Saccharomyces cerevisiae S288C: one gene and its partners. The gene in region 1 interacts genetically with each later gene. Each region holds a gene or a part of one and is shown in the gene's direction. Other genes may lie near its edges.

Evidence for each region.
Region 2: mutations in SYF2 (region 1) and CWC21 are lethal when combined (synthetic lethality), as found in Saccharomyces cerevisiae (3 studies listed by BioGRID, with this or other methods).
Region 3: mutations in SYF2 (region 1) and ECM2 together harm fitness more than expected from each alone (negative genetic interaction), as found in Saccharomyces cerevisiae (3 studies listed by BioGRID).
Region 4: mutations in SYF2 (region 1) and ISY1 are lethal when combined (synthetic lethality), as found in Saccharomyces cerevisiae (4 studies listed by BioGRID, with this or other methods).

What each region holds. Positions count from the first base shown.
Region 1 is NC_001139.9:747,883-752,400, forward strand, and holds SYF2 (Syf2p), read left to right. Parts: upstream 1-2,517; coding exon 2,518-3,165; downstream 3,166-4,518. Other genes in the region: UTP8 (Utp8p), read right to left, coding at 68-2,209; YGR130C (uncharacterized protein), read right to left, coding at 3,512-4,518.
Region 2 is NC_001136.10:1,419,365-1,423,772, reverse strand, and holds CWC21 (U2-type spliceosomal complex subunit CWC21), read left to right. Parts: upstream 1-2,934; coding exon 2,935-3,342; downstream 3,343-4,408. Other genes in the region: VPS52 (Vps52p), read right to left, coding at 1-1,010; alpha-1,2-mannosyltransferase KRE2, read right to left, coding at 1,288-2,616; alkaline phosphatase PHO8, read left to right, coding at 3,523-4,408. UniProt on the Saccharomyces cerevisiae protein: Involved in pre-mRNA splicing. May function at or prior to the first catalytic step of splicing at the catalytic center of the spliceosome, together with ISY1. May do so by stabilizing the catalytic center or the position of the RNA substrate.
Region 3 is NC_001134.8:367,115-372,298, reverse strand, and holds ECM2 (Pre-mRNA-splicing factor ECM2), read left to right. Parts: upstream 1-2,620; coding exon 2,621-3,715; downstream 3,716-5,184. Other genes in the region: TIP1 (putative lipase), read left to right, coding at 1-196; NRG2 (Nrg2p), read left to right, coding at 1,600-2,262; CNM1 (Cnm1p), read left to right, coding at 4,115-5,184. UniProt on the Saccharomyces cerevisiae protein: Involved in pre-mRNA splicing. Facilitates the cooperative formation of U2/U6 helix II in association with stem II in the spliceosome. Binds to RNA.
Region 4 is NC_001142.9:525,642-530,496, forward strand, and holds ISY1 (Isy1p), read left to right. Parts: upstream 1-3,055; coding exon 3,056-3,763; downstream 3,764-4,855. Other genes in the region: CYC1 (cytochrome c), read left to right, coding at 694-1,023; UTR1 (NADH/NAD(+) kinase), read right to left, coding at 1,243-2,835; OSM1 (fumarate reductase), read left to right, coding at 4,220-4,855. UniProt on the Saccharomyces cerevisiae protein: Involved in pre-mRNA splicing and cell cycle control.

The sequences.
Region 1 (4,518 bases):
AGACGCTATATATATTAGTTCCTTTTCTATATAGGTATTATACAATACAATCAAATTCATTGCATACTCAAATGTCCAAGTATTCCATGGTGTAAGTGGGTAAGGCTCGCTTCTGAGAAGTTCCGTTATCAAAGGTTGAGCTAGCAAACCCATGCTGAAAACCTTTCGTATCAATCAAATTCCACAATTCGGTATTTCTTTCAGCAATCTCAACTTGTTTGTCAATATATAAGGTTAAGTTCTCCAATAGAGCACCTTCTAATGAAAATAGCCCGATAGAATCTAGCACAAGGGACAAGAGTTGAAATAGCTGCGTGCTTTGGCTAGGGTTGAAGCATTCTGGTGAGCTGTCTTCACCACCGCTTGTTATGAACTCAATGAAATTTTGAACGTCTAATTTACTTAGTTTCTTCATTTCTTGTTTAATAGAGTCTCTGGTGAAATCCTGCAAAATCCTAAATGAGATATCAAGTAATAGTTCCCTGTTTCTGATAGAAAACAATTCTTCAAGTAGTTCATTTAATGGCAAGTTTGGGCATGTTACAATTGCTTGTTTAAATAATCTAGGTTGGTCTCTTAGTAAGGATAGCAAGTTGCGTGTACGACTCAATGGAAACAATGGGTGTGTCAATAAAAACGTTAAAGTTTTTGGATAATCATTTCCGCTAAACTTTCCGAAAATTAGATCTAAAACTTTATTCAAAAAGCCAGGATCAGAAATATATCTATCTTTTTCAGTATAATGTTCTTCTTTGATTTTTAGTTCTTTGAAAAATATGTCATCAAATGATGTAATGTCATTATCTTGAAGGGCTGAAAGCTTTTCAATAACTTCATTACAGTGGAGGACTGGAACGCTTGAATCCCCGCTGACGTCGTTACATTTCACTCTCTTGTCATTTATGTCTTTATCATCAAATAGCGGCTTTAAAATAACTGAGCTATCATTATTTCCAACTTGAAAACTCTTGCCTAATGAGTCCTTCAACGTATTAGTTCCAACATCAATATTAATTATTTCTAAGGAAGACGTTGGGTTTGGTCCATTTTTCGTTGAAATACCAATTGCTATTGTTTTTGAATTATGCGACTTTTCTGAATTGATCACTGCAGATTTTAATAGTTGGAATGTTTTCACGTGAGTTAATTCTCTTTGGCTTAAAGTAGAACAATGCAGTAAGTCTAGTAGATAAATGACGTTGTTTACGGTCAGTAGAACTCTGTTTACTGAAACAGGTTGGAAAGAGATTAAGTCATCTCCAGGACTGAGTTTATCCACCATCGGAAATTCAATAACTTGTTGCAATTGGCAATGTGGTAAAGAGTAAATGTATATTTTCCCCTGGTTCAATTTGTAAAGTTTTCCAAATTGATAACAAAGCTTTGAATTTTCAAAAGAAAATCCTTCGATGATAGTAGATGATAATTCTTTTATGGGCGAACTTTCTCCACTGCCACAATCTGTTAGCTCGAGCAATTTATAGCAGACTTTATCATCCTGTAATGGACAGAGAACAAAAACATATTCAGTTCCATTTTCAGTGAACCATTTAGCATATTTTAAGTTATCATAAGATATATCAAATGAATGCAAAAGTGTTAACTTAAAATCAAAAATTTCAATCAACCCGTTCTGTAAAATTGCAATTACTAAGCTGTTCTTGGTGTCAATTTTAATACTCATGACTTTGGCTTTCGCCTTGATCTTATACTGAGATAAAAATTCGTCTGAACCCGTGTATGCTTTATTGTCAATATCACTCTCACTCAGATGGTCATTTGAGGTATCAGTGGTATCTTCCAGTGCCTTAGTGATAACATTTAGCGTATAATTACCCTTATTTACCATTAAACCAAAGGCCCAAATTTCAACATTTCTTTTTTTTTGGGTGTTGATAGTCTTCTCGTTGTTGGCTTCATCATCGGTACTGGCTTCTATATTTCCGTCAATGTTCGCTTGACCTTTCTCAGCATTGCATGCCGTGATAATATTTGTAGAGGGTATTGGGTAATCGAATGTTAACTTTGGTGTAGGATTAATAATATATTGAGATATAGATGACCCGGAAATACCTAACGTTATGTTATTTGTAGATTCATTAAAGGTGCCATCTGCGACTTGAACGTAATCTGCTTGTAAAGAAAAATTGCTCAATGAAGCAATTTTTGGGAGAGTTGCTAGTCTAAATGGTTGAGACAGGGATGGCATTTTGAATCTTTACTATCCTCCGGAATGATTTGCTGTTCAAGGAGCGCTAGGTGTGACATATAATATTACAAATTTAACAGTGACCTCATCTCATCAAAGTTTTCAAATTTTTCAGGCATCTGCTACAGCATAATGAAAAAATTTGAAAAATACAGACATTTCCGTGTAGAATGACAAAAAAGCTAGAATATTACTATATTTTCCTTAAAAGAGCAATATTTGCGATGAGGGGCTCTCAATGACAATGTTTGACTTCTCTATTGAACTGTAAGCGAAGCAAAACCATATCTTGTCAAAGTATTCGAAGAATGGATTTTTACAAATTAGACGAGAAGCTGAAGGAGTTGAAAAGGAAAAGAGTAGATGTATCTATAAAGAGTAGGAAGTTGGCTGACAGAGAGATTCAGGAAGTAAGCGCAAATCGAAAACCAAGAGTATACAGTATGGAAGACGTAAATGATGCAGATGAATCAGTAGGAGATACAGAAAGTCCTGAAAAAGAGAAAGCATTTCATTACACTGTCCAAGAATATGATGCGTGGGAACGTAGGCATCCTCAAGGGAAGACTGGGCAAAGCCAAAGAGGTGGAATTTCCTATGATCAACTTGCAAAATTGAGTTATGAGAAGACCTTGCGGAATCTCGCTACGCAAACACAGAATTCGAGCAAACAGGATAGTTCCGCCGATGAAGAAGACAATAAAAACGTACCCAAGAAGGGTAGAATCGGCAAGGTACAGAAGGACACTAAGACGGGTAAGATAACAATTGCAGATGACGACAAGCTAGTTAATAAGTTGGCCGTTTCTTTGCAATCTGAGTCGAAAAAAAGATACGAAGCAAGAAAAAGACAAATGCAAAATGCAAAAACACTGTATGGGGTTGAAAGCTTCATTAATGACAAAAATAAACAATTCAATGAAAAATTGAGCAGGGAATCAAAAGGATCAGAATAAGCTTCTCTTTTATTTAGAATATACCGATATAACCAAAGGAAAGTTTTAATACCCTGGATTTTTCATCGACCGTCACGTGACGAGCTGAGGTTAAATGCCCGCAAAAGTGCTTCAGAAGAGAGTCCATCTTACTCGGTTATTTGAGCACGAAACACTAGAGAATAACTAACTGGTTGATAAATTGTTGATTGAGTAAATATTGGTACATAAAACGGTTACAAAGAGAGGTAGATTAGGAAGGGTGAAAATAATCAAAGGATAACTTGATGATACTCGACAAAGAATAGAAGAGAAAAATAAAATAGAGGTGGGATATTCCTTGAACAAAAGTGGAATATTATTTTTTTTAGGCATACATGACGTCTTCCTCAGTATGATATTCATACAAGGAATCGTCCTTTGGAAGGACGCTCGTATTCTTTTGTGAACGGTCATTTGGTATTTTGTGGTTTTCAGCCGCGTGTATACCTTCAGCTTGTTTGTGCTGCCTACTCAATATTTCTTGCTTCAAGGCCTCATCAGCGTTTTTCTGGCGAGTTTGTTCCTCGATAGCCTTTTCAGCTTGTAATCGCGTTCTTTCCCTCTTGACTGCCTCCAGTTCTTTCTCTTCGGTTGCCAGCTTATCCTGTAGTTCAGTCAATTGGTCATTATAGGTTTGCTTGACTTGAGTAATTTGCTGCTCATGATCTAATTGAGCCTGATGCGCTTGTTCCTCCAGCTCTTGGCGCTGTTTTTCCAATAAGTTCTCTTCTTTGCGTTTTCTTTCTTCAGCTTCTAGCTTCAACTGTTCTTCATGAGCGCGGCGCTCATCTTCGAGTCTTTTGGTAATTGCCGATAGTTGAGTTTTTTCATTGGCGTTTTCCTGCTTGATTATGGTCACTTCGTTCAATAAGCTTGATATTTGATTATCAATATCATTAATTTGTGGAAGATATTCCTTGTTCTCTACACTTTCCAAAACTTGTACATTTTTTTCATGCAGCTTCTTATTTTCTTCAGTTTGGGTAACCAAATCCTCCTTTTTCTTTTCCAGATTATCGATTTCGTTTTGAACTTTGCCTTGTTTCAAATTAATCTGGTTAATCTTAAAGATCTGAGCATCCAACTGTTGAGATAAGTTACTTAAGTTCGTGGTCCAGTCATTGAACTCCTTTTGGACATTCGTTTTCTCATTGTTCAAATCATCGATTTCTGACTTAACGTTGGTTTGTTTGTCCAAGACCTCATTTTTCTCCTGCAACTTTTGGTTTTTCATATTTTCAGTGTCTTTTAATATCATTAGTTTCTTATTATTATGCTCGGCATTAACATCAATGATTTTTTTGACCAACCGGTTTTTACTAACTTCAATTT
Region 2 (4,408 bases), on another chromosome or scaffold:
TTTATCTGAAAGTATTTATCAATTTTCTCATCTGTTACAGGGAGTTTATTATAGAAAGCATTTGAAGCGGATGTAGTTAGATAATTTGAGAAAAACAATGATGGTGAATTGTTAAACCCACTCACTGAAGTTGTAGAAAGGCCATTACCCAATGCAAATTGCGAGTCGATTTGTTGAAATTGCAAAATAGTCAATGACCTGATATATCTAGAAAAGTATTCTCTATAATACCATTTCATTGTGTAACAATATGCCTGTCTTAACTCAAGGGCTAAGGAGAGATTATTATCTCTTATGAAGGGGAAAATTTTTTGAACTTTTAATAATTTGTTTTGTATCCTTTGCGATGGTACTGGGTTATGACTCCTCAAAGTTTTGATTTTGGAAATAATAAGTCTTTTCGACCTTTCTAGAATAACATTTTTTAGGATGTCCAGGAGTTGACATAACTTATCAAAATCCTTTGGTGCTAGCATTGCTGAATTTTCTGCGTCCTTGTTGTCTTGATCGAGATTATTGGACCTATACTTGTTATAAATTTCTTCTTTATCTGCTATGAATGTTATATTATCCTGCCAGCTTTCATTGATCTTCCCTTTAATGATGTCATCAATGAGTTCAGGAGGAATCATCAAATCATTAACCATAGGAGAGATATGTGCCAGTTTAGTGGAGTTGTATTCGAGCAATGACTGTAATTCATTGGACTTTTTTTTAATGAAGTCTAAATCTTGTGTGTAATTTGATAACCTATTAGTGAATTCGGTTAAGTAATCAATCAATTGAGGAATAATTATATTAATAGCCGCTTCATTGTTAGAATGAGTTTCCTGTAATGATTTAAGTTTAGCAAATGGTGACTGATCTTTGTTTGAAGGCGCTTTAAATTTACAATCCTTCAAATAGTTTTCAAAAGGATCATCCGTTTCATTTGTTTTATCTCGGCTCGTTTCCTTCAGCTGGTCAAATTTATCTTGGTCTAGTGACAACACCTCTTTGAGAACATCCATAGTTCTATGTCTTCAGCTAATTTTTTTACGCTTTTGTTGCTTATAGCTTATTCCTCTTTCCTCTCACTTGTAAAAACTCTTGATATACCTTATATTTTTTCGAACTATTCTCGGAATACGCTAATGAGAATAAAAATATTCGAATCTTTAAAAAAAATGTGGATTGCCTCACTTATATGTTTGATACGCAGTCCTATGTGTACTTAACCAGTTATAAAAATAAAATATAAATAGAAAGTATAAAGTCAAAACAAAGAAACAGTATGTTCCAAGATTTCTACTCACGGAATTTTTTCCAGTTTTTTGGCTTTACCAACCCTTGAGCATCATAATATTCCTTACCACAAGAGTAACCTTGGAAAGTGAAATCATTACCTTGGTCACATTCACAGTTGTTACTGTTATAGACCTCCTTGTCCAATGGGCAGTTATCATAAGGTGGATGATGGTAACCAATGTCTGAAAAATAATGGATTTTATCCTTTGGCAAAAACAAAGCAGCAGCAATAGAATGAACGGGAGCATCGCCCCATCTTTCGTAGAAAAATCCACCTTGATGATCCAAAGTGTCAAAATACTCTCTGTAGGCTGGTGACCTCCACAAATTCAAGTTTGCAATTTCAAAGTTTGACCAGAAATGGCACAGATTGTATGTTTTACCATTATCGTTCGAAAGAAAACTCATCAGGTTGTTTTCATCTAAGTATTCGGGGTTCTTTTTGATGAAATCCATGGACGTTTGCCATAGTGTTGGGATCGTCACTTCATATTCATGAATAGAAACGGTAAAGCCGTAAACTTTTTCGTTTTCTTGCATCCACTTAAAAACGTCGTAATTAATATCACAGTATAACTTGATGTCTGGTTCCACACGCCAGTACCAATCGTACTCTTCTAATAATTCATGTCTCCAGAAAAACCCAGATTGGTAACGACACATGTGTCTATAAGATTCGGAGCCACCGTATATGTATTTGGTGGCAGCATCTGCACGAATTTCAGCAGCCTTGGTTTGATTAATCCATTCAGGATATGACCAATGTTCCTTGGGCAAAATACCAAACTTAACTTCGGAAGAAACAGCTTTGGTGACTGCTTCCTTGAATTCTTCAGTAAAAGGTTCATCGTTTAGGAAAACCCAAGGATATGGGAATTTCTTGTTAATTTTGTTTTCCACATATTTAATGGAGCTTAGCAAACCTTTCAACTCCTTGTTTCTCACCAAAGTGACGTAACAAGCTTTTGGCTTACCAGCTTTGTTAGCAAAAGATGGAGTGATATAATCCATGGTTGTTTTAGTGTCGATCGGGGCATCTGCCTTTTCAGCGGCAGCTTTCAGAGCCTTGGATTCTTCATCCATGGCTTCGGAGTCTTCGCTTGCCTCTGAATTCAGAGCACTTTGCTCTAATTTTTTAGCATCATTTTCCTCAGAGATGACTTGTTGTTCAGGGGATATAGATCCTGAGGTAAAATCAAATGCAGCGGAGATGGAACTCGGAATATATTGCTGAGTTCTACTGTTGGAATTCAATGTTAGGAGGAGAACAATAACCGCACCTGCAATGACGGTAAATCTCAACAGTCTCTTACTGAGAAAGAGGGCCATGCTTTCGAGTGGAACTGCTTGCGAATATGGATATCACTTCCAGTATTATAGATTCATAAAATGTATAAACGAATTAAATCGCAAATTATCTCCTTTTCAGACTGTTTCTTCACCAAATTTCTTTTTTTTTTCCTACTAGAAGAAGGCGTAGCAGATAAGAAGGAAAAATTATATTAAGCGTGCGGGTAAAGGCAAGGAAGAATCAAGTAAGACCTCAAGAATGGCACTATAAGTGTGGTATTATAATCTGTGTAATCCTAATTTGAGCTCTACACAATACCATTCGACGGTTAACAGCTACTGCATCACCGTCCAGTCATGTCGTACAACGGAATAGGGCTCAAGTCGGCAAAAGGGTCATCTACGTCGGGCCACGTGCAGCGATCACTTGCTAGCAACAATAGGCGCAGACCACAGGGTAGTCAACAGCAGCGGCAACAACGACAAAATGCGATCAAAAAGGCCAGCCATGACAAGGCAAGCAGGCCTCTTGCTGTGCAGAAACAGATAGAGACTCATATGGAGAAACGTGAGATTGAAGTACAAGTTAGCGAGCTACGGGACCGACTGGAGGAGGAAGAAACGCTCTCGGAAGAGCAGATTGACAAGAAATGTGAAGCGTTGAGGGCAAAACTGACGAACGAGTGGCAAGAACAGCAGCGGATGTCCTCTTTGTACACCCCTCGTAAGGCGCGTCTAACGGAAGAGCAGCATCGACATGAATAGCAGCATTGACGATAGCGATAAGCTTCGCGCGTAGAGGAAAAGTAAAGGGATTTTAGTATATAAAGAAAGAAGTGTATCTAAACGTTTATATTTTTTCGTGCTCCACATTTTGCCAGCAAGTGGCTACATAAACATTTACATATCAGCATACGGGACATTATTTGAACGCGCATTAGCAGCATGATGACTCACACATTACCAAGCGAACAGACACGTCTTGTTCCTGGATCTGACTCGAGCTCTCGTCCTAAAAAGAGACGGATCTCGAAGAGATCAAAGATAATAGTATCCACTGTGGTCTGTATTGGTTTGTTGCTGGTTTTAGTGCAACTGGCATTTCCAAGCAGTTTTGCATTACGTTCTGCATCACACAAGAAGAAGAATGTCATATTCTTCGTGACGGATGGGATGGGACCTGCGTCTTTGTCCATGGCAAGATCATTCAACCAGCATGTTAATGATTTACCTATAGACGACATCCTGACACTTGACGAGCATTTTATCGGGTCTTCGAGAACAAGGTCCTCGGACTCACTAGTCACTGACTCAGCTGCGGGCGCCACCGCATTTGCATGTGCATTAAAGAGCTATAATGGGGCCATCGGTGTTGATCCGCATCACAGACCTTGTGGTACAGTGCTCGAGGCGGCTAAGTTAGCAGGTTATCTCACTGGGCTTGTTGTTACGACAAGAATCACAGATGCCACTCCGGCTTCATTCAGTTCACATGTTGATTACAGATGGCAGGAAGATCTTATCGCTACGCACCAGTTAGGCGAATATCCTCTGGGGAGAGTAGTAGACTTACTCATGGGTGGCGGCAGGAGCCATTTCTACCCTCAAGGCGAAAAGGCTTCTCCATATGGTCACCACGGTGCTAGAAAAGATGGAAGAGATTTAATCGATGAGGCTCAATCTAATGGCTGGCAGTACGTGGGTGACCGTAAAAATTTTGATTCTTTGTTGAAAAGCCACGGTGAAAACGTTACTTTACCTTTCTTGGGTCTCTTTGCAGATAACGACATTCCTTTTGAAATTGACAGAGATGAAAAGGAGTATCCTTCCC
Region 3 (5,184 bases), on another chromosome or scaffold:
TGCCCCATCTTCTTCTGCTGCCCCATCATCATCTGCCGAATCATCTTCTAAGGCCGTTTCTTCTTCTGTCGCTCCAACTACCTCTTCTGTCAGCACTTCTACAGTCGAAACTGCTTCCAATGCCGGTCAAAGAGTCAATGCAGGCGCTGCCTCTTTCGGTGCTGTTGTTGCAGGTGCAGCTGCTTTATTGTTATAAAAGGGAACCTTTTACAACAAATATTTGAAAAATTACCTCCATTATTATACCTTCTCTTTATGTAATTGTTAGTTCGAAAATTTTTTCTTCATTAATATAATCAACTTCTAAAACTTTCTAAAAACGTTCTCTTTTTCGAGATTAGTGCTTCTTCCCAATCCGTAAGAAATGTTTCCTTTCTTGACAATTGGCACCAGCTGGCTACTCGTTGCTCGAAAACTACTCTCTTTTATTTTTAATTTACGAACGATTATCTTTCGAAGGAACGACCAAACGAGCTAAATATGGGCATCGCCAACGTTAAAAAAATGGACCCTACCGAAGACGTTATTATGCCAAGGCGCAGCGAAGAGTCTTTCTCCTTGAGAAAAAATATGCATGAAACAAAATAGACAGGACCAGACCCTCTTCGGGAAAAAAAGTCAAGATTTAACACGTGGCTACACCGGCTGGCTTACAACCAACCAACATAAGATCAAACAACCCTCAAGTTTAGAAAATGCCTTAATAGCAACCTCTAAAACCATAGACTTCTCCATTTTCACGTGCTAAAAAAGTTCGGGTATGATGTCATACAAATCCTTTCAACAAAAGATGCTTCAAGATCAATGGCACTCGAGATCATAAATCCCTGCAGAGCAGCGGCTCTGCATATAGAATAACAAACAAATCGTATTTTTCCCGAAGCCAAGAAAAAAAGGAGACTATAACCTTTCAAGCCAGACGGAAAACTATCTGCCCAAGGACAAACTGGCATGGGCTGCTTCAATGTTCGGCTACCTTTTTTCTCTTTTAACGGGGTTTGGTATTTTTTTTCTTTACTTCATAAACGAATGTTAAACGACTGTGAAAAAGCCATCCCTGGATTATGCGAGAGTACTCTCAGGGCACCCGTCCGTTTAAAGACCCCAGGCCAAAATAAAAATTTCTTGAAGGAAAAAAATACACAGGGCCTTGAACTGAATACAAAGCCATCTTTTTTCTCGTTTGTCAGCACGTCCCAGAAAAACGCGCAGCCGTAGCTCTTGATAAGTGGCTTCTGCGTTTTGCAACGCTTTTCTGATCTCATGTTTTCTTATGCTGCGGGACATCATTGTCGTTGAGAAAAGTTTCAATTTCAAACGAACTGCCTACCGTTGCATTCTCCTTGGAGAAGGGCCTGAGTTTAGGGGAATCACGTCTGGCTATTACATGCTACATCGTGCAGTAGCTCCTACATCGCTAACAGGCAAATCCTACACCCTCTTTAAATCGTTTATCTTTTATATATTATCTGGCCTAAATTTTTACATATAAATATTTATCATATTATGACAGCTCAAATGAATTTCCGGCACCAAGTCATATGAGCACTCGCTACTGTTCGAAGAACAAAAAATATAAAGCTTCTACAAAATTTCCAGATGTCCATAGGTTACAAAGACAACTTGATGTCAACTATTCTAGCTAAAGATAGGAAATGTGAATTTCCCATCAATTTCGAATGTTCGCCCTCCCAGATAACTCTTATGCCTGAAATGTTCTCTTTTAACAATGAAAGGAAATACCAAACCCTGATACCCTTGATGAAAACATCACATCTAATTGATGATGACTTGAAAGATAAATTGAATAAGTGCGCTTTCGATTTTTTCTCCGGAAAACAAGCGAACAGAACGAGTGACGGGACTATTTCAAGATTAACAGCAAGTGGAAAAACGTCACCGATACTGCCATTGCAAAATATTAATATTGTAAAAGCAGAGAATACCGGTAACGGTAAATCAGATCCATATAGCTCAATTAAAATAAGCAAACCGACAAAAACCGTGATAAAATTGAAATCTACGAAAACCAATACAGCAGGACAGAGGACTCGTCATTTCTGTAAGATCTGCTCTACTGGGTTCACCACTTCTGGTCATCTTTCAAGACATAACAGAATCCATACAGGTGAAAAAAATCATATCTGTCCGCATGAGGGCTGTGGACAGAGGTTTAGTAGACATGATAACTGTAATCAGCATTATCGAACTCATGCAAACAAGAAGAAAAGAAACTGGAAGAGGAGGGAGGCTAGCAGTTGATGTGAGTGAGCTCAGCCAAAAACATTTAAATATTCAAATAACGTACAAATAAAAGACTGATAAATAGTAATAAAACTAAGCGGGTTAGTAATACTCACCAAGAACAATAGCAGGAACGATAGTCGGTTCTCTTTCGTAATTTTTTTAAGTCACAACCCGGAGGGACGTGAAGTTTCAAACCTTATTCATTCCGGGATTACCCTCTCCTGTGATGACGTTTAGGCAATAAGGACTAAAAAAAAAAAAAAGAAATGCTATGGCAAATTTTATTGATAGAAGTGGTAATGATGATGGAAGGGCTTTTGAGCAGGTGAATAGAAGGTAGCTAACGGAAAAGAGTTATTGCACCCTTAATATAATGAATGATGAAATTAATGAGCCACCGCCCAATATATGTGAGCAGTGCTTAGGTGATGAGGCTAATATACGAATGACTAAAATTCCACAAGGCTCTGAATGTAAGATTTGTACCTTACCGTTCACCTTATACCATTTTAAGACGTCTAAACGAAGCAATAATATCATTAAAACATTAATATGTGTACGGTGCGCCACTCAGAGAAACATTTGTCAATGCTGTATGCTTGATTCAAGATGGCACATCCCTATACAACTGCGGGATCATTTAATATCCCTTGTGAACGAGGAAAACGTTATGACGGAGGAAGCAAAAAACGACATGATGAAAAGGTTTCTGTCACTAAAAAACGTGAAATTAGGAGGAGCTCAGATTACGAGTGATCCGTCAGAAGCAGATAATATCGTTGATAAATTGAAAAATATACTTCTGCGAGCAACATCAGATGGCCCAAGTACTCCGTTAATAAAAAACACAACTGCATTGTATAAAAATGAAAAAGGTGCAAATGAGGTCAAAAACTTGGAAAAGTACGCGTCCGTGGACATTTCTCATATTTTGAAGAAACTACCCTTGAATGAATCGTTTTTAAAAAACCCCTCCACCAAATCATTTTTTCTGTATAATATTGATGCCTCGATCCCTGAATGGAAAATAACTGATACAGTTTCGCAATTATTGGGTATAAAGAAATGGAAGGATGGAAATTCATTGTCATTAATAGTCAACCACAAGGCGAAGTGTGGTGGCCTAAGATTTCAATCTAGTGAATTGGGGGAGCGGTTTGTCAGTAAAATAAGTGAGACACTTGTCACACCAAAGGGCCTAAAGAGAGGAGTTTTACTTATTGACCGTTTTAGAATCTTTATCATTCCGTGGTCGTCTGGCTTTTCAGCTGCGTCATTCGGAACCAACACTGCAGAAAATATAAAACTTAGTTTAAGTTTGAATAAGCTTATTCAGTTGGAGCTAGGGCTTTCTTTTCCTACAAAAAGCACAGATAACGCAAAGAATGACAAGAAAAAGACATCAAAAAAAGTTCATAAGGACAGATCAAAGAAATCGAAACCTCGCGCTAACAAGTTAACAATATAGATGAAACGTAAGAAAAATCATGGGTTGAAGAAACGAACTGTTTGATCAATTTCGACCATCCATCTACCTTGCAAGTAATAAACAAAAGCAGGTTGAGTGGGGAACTTTATCTAAGTTGATCAGTATATCTGACAAATTTATACGGAATGCTGCAGTTTGGATTAGCACGAACATTTTATCTGTACGGTTTGTCGCTTTTAGCTGCTCGGGCTCTTCCTCTCGGTTACCGAGATGATAACTCGGCCGAATTTTGTAAGTACAAATAAAAAGAAAGTGACACAATTCTAAAAGTATCACTATAATTTATTATTTTGAGAAAGATAAGGTTCCATAGGTACATGATATATTGACTGATTTCTGATAGCTCTTTTTTTTCCAATATCGATAAAAAACTAAAATATGGAGGAACTAGGTTTAAAAAGCACTTTTCCATATGAATATGGCTCAGACTTTACAATGATAAGAACGGAAATGTTAAATACTACGAAGAGCGAAACAACTATTTTATTTTCCAATATAAAGAGCATTTTGGCCATTATTTGGAAATACTCATTTACATTTTTAAGATCTTTTTCCGATTCCATCAAACTTATTATTGACGATGTTGTCACTATTGGCTCCCGAAATTTTGCAGAGAGATTACAGATTGAAGCGAAAAAAAACAATGACCAAGAAGATATCTGGGCATCCACAATAATTTTGGGTGTGATTATCGGGTATTTAATCTCTTCTATTAAGAGAAAGAACACTTTTCCAATAATGCCTACGAGCTCACCTAAAATAGATGATTGTAGGTTCAAGACTGGTGATACCATATCCATTGTAATAAACTTTAATGAAGACTGCCTCAATAATCGAAGTGACGTTACCGAAGAGAGAAATTATGAGGAATCCACAGTTTTACATTCAAAGGAGTCAGTTCTCAGCATTGGTAGGCAAAATATGGTAACTTTGAACCAAAGCGATGAAAATTTCACCTATGGCAATTTTGATGAGTACGACTTATTAACTAAAGATTATACAACAGAGGTCTTAACGCGATCACCTGGCTCGAATCCCGAGTTTAAAGCAGTGGTAAATAATACATTACTTGATAGCGCGAATGAAACGCCGTTTAAAGGTATTGAAAAAAGTATTAACGAAACAATGGTTAAAGTTCCTATGGGATGCGATGTATCTCTCTCCCATTATGGCAGACAATACGCGCCTGGAAATATTTCAATTATGAGAAGCTTCACTGCTCGAGATAATACTAAATCTGTGAGTAGAGAAATTCGTGATATCTGTAAATCGTTTTTGATTATAAAAAGCCAATTTGGTGACGAACTTTTCCTGACTATGTTCATGGAAAAACCAGTTTTCTTTGATAACAACATCCCAATTGAAATAACTGGAGCATACCGAGAAAAACGAGAGCGATTAGATGAAGTGATTCATAAGGATCTTATCCGCTATGATGAAGTTCAAAA
Region 4 (4,855 bases), on another chromosome or scaffold:
ATTTTTAGGCTCGAGAACAATAGGGCGAAAAAACAGGCAACGAACGAACAATGGAAAAACGAAAAAAAAAAAAAAAAACACAGAAAAGAATGCAGAAAGATGTCAACTGAAAAAAAAAAAGGTGAACACAGGAAAAAAAATAAAAAAAAAAAAAAAAAAAGGAGGACGAAACAAAAAAGTGAAAAAAAATGAAAATTTTTTTGGAAAACCAAGAAATGAATTATATTTCCGTGTGAGACGACATCGTCGAATATGATTCAGGGTAACAGTATTGATGTAATCAATTTCCTACCTGAATCTAAAATTCCCGGGAGCAAGATCAAGATGTTTTCACCGATCTTTCCGGTCTCTTTGGCCGGGGTTTACGGACGATGGCAGAAGACCAAAGCGCCAGTTCATTTGGCGAGCGTTGGTTGGTGGATCAAGCCCACGCGTAGGCAATCCTCGAGCAGATCCGCCAGGCGTGTATATATAGCGTGGATGGCCAGGCAACTTTAGTGCTGACACATACAGGCATATATATATGTGTGCGACGACACATGATCATATGGCATGCATGTGCTCTGTATGTATATAAAACTCTTGTTTTCTTCTTTTCTCTAAATATTCTTTCCTTATACATTAGGACCTTTGCAGCATAAATTACTATACTTCTATAGACACACAAACACAAATACACACACTAAATTAATAATGACTGAATTCAAGGCCGGTTCTGCTAAGAAAGGTGCTACACTTTTCAAGACTAGATGTCTACAATGCCACACCGTGGAAAAGGGTGGCCCACATAAGGTTGGTCCAAACTTGCATGGTATCTTTGGCAGACACTCTGGTCAAGCTGAAGGGTATTCGTACACAGATGCCAATATCAAGAAAAACGTGTTGTGGGACGAAAATAACATGTCAGAGTACTTGACTAACCCAAAGAAATATATTCCTGGTACCAAGATGGCCTTTGGTGGGTTGAAGAAGGAAAAAGACAGAAACGACTTAATTACCTACTTGAAAAAAGCCTGTGAGTAAACAGGCCCCTTTTCCTTTGTCGATATCATGTAATTAGTTATGTCACGCTTACATTCACGCCCTCCTCCCACATCCGCTCTAACCGAAAAGGAAGGAGTTAGACAACCTGAAGTCTAGGTCCCTATTTATTTTTTTTAATAGTTATGTTAGTATTAAGAACGTTATTTATATTTCAAATTTTTCTTTTTTTTCTGTACAAACGCGTGTACGCATGTAACATTATACTGAAAACCTTGCTTGAGAAGGTTTTGGGACGCTCGAAGGCTTTAATTTGCAAGCTTCGCAGTTTACACTCTCATCGTCGCTCTCATCATCGCTTCCGTTGTTGTTTTCCTTAGTAGCGTCTGCTTCCAGAGAGTATTTATCTCTTATTACCTCTAAAGGTTCTGCTTGATTTCTGACTTTGTTCGCCTCATGTGCATATTTTTCTTGGTTCTTTTGGGACAAAATATGCGTAAAGGACTTTTGTTGTTCCCTCACATTCCAGTTTAGTTGTCGACTGATACTGTTAATAAACTCATCGGGCGAGGCTTCCACGGTTGGAAAAGCATATGGGCTGGCGCATATGGTTATAAAATCACCTTTTTGCAATTCAATTCTATCTTTCCCATCAAAAGCCGCCCATGCTGGAGCCCTTGACTTCATCGAGACTTTCACTTTTAAATTTATACTTTCTGGTAAGATGATGGGTCTGAAACTCAATGCATGTGGACAAATGGGTGTTAAAGCGATTGCATTGACGGTTGGGCATACCAATGACCCACCTGCACTCAAAGAATAGGCCGTGGACCCAGTCGGAGTAGCAGCAATCAGTCCGTCCGCCTGCGCAACGGTCATTAATGAGCCGTCACCATACAATTCTAACATGGATAGAAAAGGACTTGGACCACGATCGATGGTCACTTCGTTCAAAATGTGGTGTGTGCTTAGTTTTTCCACCACACATATTTTCTTCCCCGTGTTTGGGTCTACTTCAGGGCGGTGTCTACGATAAATTGTGCACTCCAACCTCAACCGTAAATTTGTCTTGATTTTATGATTCATAATCCGAGGTAAATCCTCCCTGAAATGTTCAAACTTAAAATTTGTTAAAAATCCTAGAGACCCTAATGAAAACGACATAACGGGTGGTACATGTCTCTGAAAAATGGAACTTACAAAAAGAACAGTACCGTCGCCACCCAAAGTCACTACCAAATCGAAGAAAACATCATGTTCCCTGATGAAATCCTTTGTCCAATACTTGATCCTTGATTCTCTACATTTACTATCTTCACATAACTCGCCAGCGGCAAATTTTTTGCTGTTTTTCAATTCGGAATCCACATAAACAGTCACACGTGGAAAATGTACCAAAACCCATTCTACCAACTCTCTTGTTAAGAAATACAGTGAGACATCGTTGAGTTTCGTAACAATCATCAAATTTTCCACATCCAGTTCCACTTTGGTATTAGATATATCTTTACTCAACATTCTTACACCATACGCCGTGGAGGCATACTGAAAGTGTGTATTACTACTCTTAGAACTTCCTCTTGTTCCGTTAATGCTCGTACCACCGCCACTGTTTGCATTGCCGTTCACGAGAGATGAATCTTTATTCAACAGGGAGCTTCTGCGCGAGCTGCTTTCACTTGATATTTTCCTCAACATTTCTTTGGCGTTGTCGATATCCTGAGTTCTATCAATTTGCTCATTGTTCATCATGGCCTTCTTCATCAAGTTATTATTGTTGTTATGATGATCATTTCGACCATCTTCCTCATTTACCCATTTATCTACGCCATTATTCATGTCATTCTCCTTCATCTCAAGAGCTTTTACTCTACTTATTTAGGGAGCCTATTGTATTTTTTTTTGGCTTACGATCACGATGTCAATGATCATTTGCCCTATTATACCTTTTTCTCCGTTCTCTTTGCGTAGTGCGGTGAAATAATTTCAGGATGCATGAAAGAGCAAATAAAAGTGACACACCGTTATATCGCAAGGCGCACCACATCAGTAATCAGATACCTGTGCATTCAAAATGAGTAGAAATGTAGATAAGGCCAACTCAGTTCTGGTACGATTTCAAGAGCAGCAAGCAGAGTCGGCAGGTGGATACAAGGATTATTCACGTTACCAGAGGCCCAGGAACGTGTCTAAGGTAAAATCCATAAAAGAGGCCAACGAATGGAAGCGACAAGTAAGTAAAGAGATAAAACAAAAAAGCACAAGAATATATGATCCGTCTTTAAATGAAATGCAGATTGCGGAACTTAACGACGAACTTAATAATCTTTTCAAAGAATGGAAGAGATGGCAGTGGCACATTGACCATACACTTATGGAAAAAAAAACCAAGAGGAAAAGGTTAGAAGACAGTCATGTGCTGATGAATTCAGGAAAGCTGATAAATGGTAAGAGATATTTTGGAAGAGCCCTGGAATTGCCTGAAGTAAAAGAATGGCTCAAGCAGTCTCAAAGGCAGAATGATGGGGGTTCTATAAACACCAAATGCATACCGAAGGATAGAAATGATTTTTATTACCATGGCAAAGTCACAGCCGCCTTAACCGAATTTGAGGCTAACTGGACATCCATTTTGAAAGCACATTATAATGTGCCTGTGAATGAAGATGAAGAAGAAATGTCAAGGCAGACACAAGAAATCCATGTACCAACTCTGGCAGATATGGAGCATTGGTTAGTGCAAAGAAGAAAAAAGAAACTAATGGATGAACTTAACCTTTAGCTATGGAAAATTATTCAAACATTTAGAAGAGGCACTATTTCGAATGACCATCACAAGCATTATAATCTTCAAACATGTCCGAGCTGCAGATATGAAGTAAAATAGTGATCGGGACTCATTTTTTTTTCTTCTATGATATCATATTGTCCCGTTCGTTATTAAATGTAATTCTTCCACCGTACTAGTTATCGAAGGCAAGATCTCCTTTTTACGCTTAGGTAGATTACATAGATTTCATAATGTACACCAATACAAATGTATCTTATACACTCGTCAAATCTTATATGAATCATGCAGGAGTAGCTCTCGTTTTCTTTTTACGAGCTACTTGAAAAAAAAAAACTAGCGAAAATCCTTTGCTTAGAAATCCAGATTTAAAACAAAACCGCCGAAAAGGGAAAGATTTTATGATAGGAAATACCTTAATAATTCTATATCATCCCGAGTCTTAGGAAAATGATTAGATCTGTGAGAAGGGTTTTCATTTACGTCTCAATATTCGTATTGATAATAGTTTTGAAAAGAACATTAAGTGGCACAGATCAAACGTCAATGAAACAACCAGTGGTGGTCATTGGCTCTGGTTTGGCAGGCTTAACCACAAGTAATCGTCTCATTAGTAAATACAGAATTCCTGTTGTGCTTTTGGATAAGGCGGCTTCTATTGGTGGGAATTCTATAAAGGCTTCTAGTGGTATTAATGGTGCTCACACAGACACTCAACAAAATTTAAAGGTAATGGACACTCCCGAATTGTTTTTGAAAGATACTTTGCATTCGGCTAAAGGCAGAGGGGTTCCATCACTGATGGATAAGTTGACTAAGGAATCCAAGAGTGCTATCAGGTGGTTGCAAACAGAATTCGATTTGAAATTAGACCTCCTTGCGCAATTGGGCGGTCACTCTGTTCCAAGGACCCATAGATCTTCTGGCAAATTACCACCAGGTTTTGAAATCGTGCAAGCGTTATCAAAAAAACTAAAGGATATCTCTTCCAAAGATTCCAATCTCGTGCAGATTATGCTAAACAGTGAAGTAGTGGATATCGAGCTTGATAATCAAGGTCATGTTACTGGTGTAGTATATATGGAC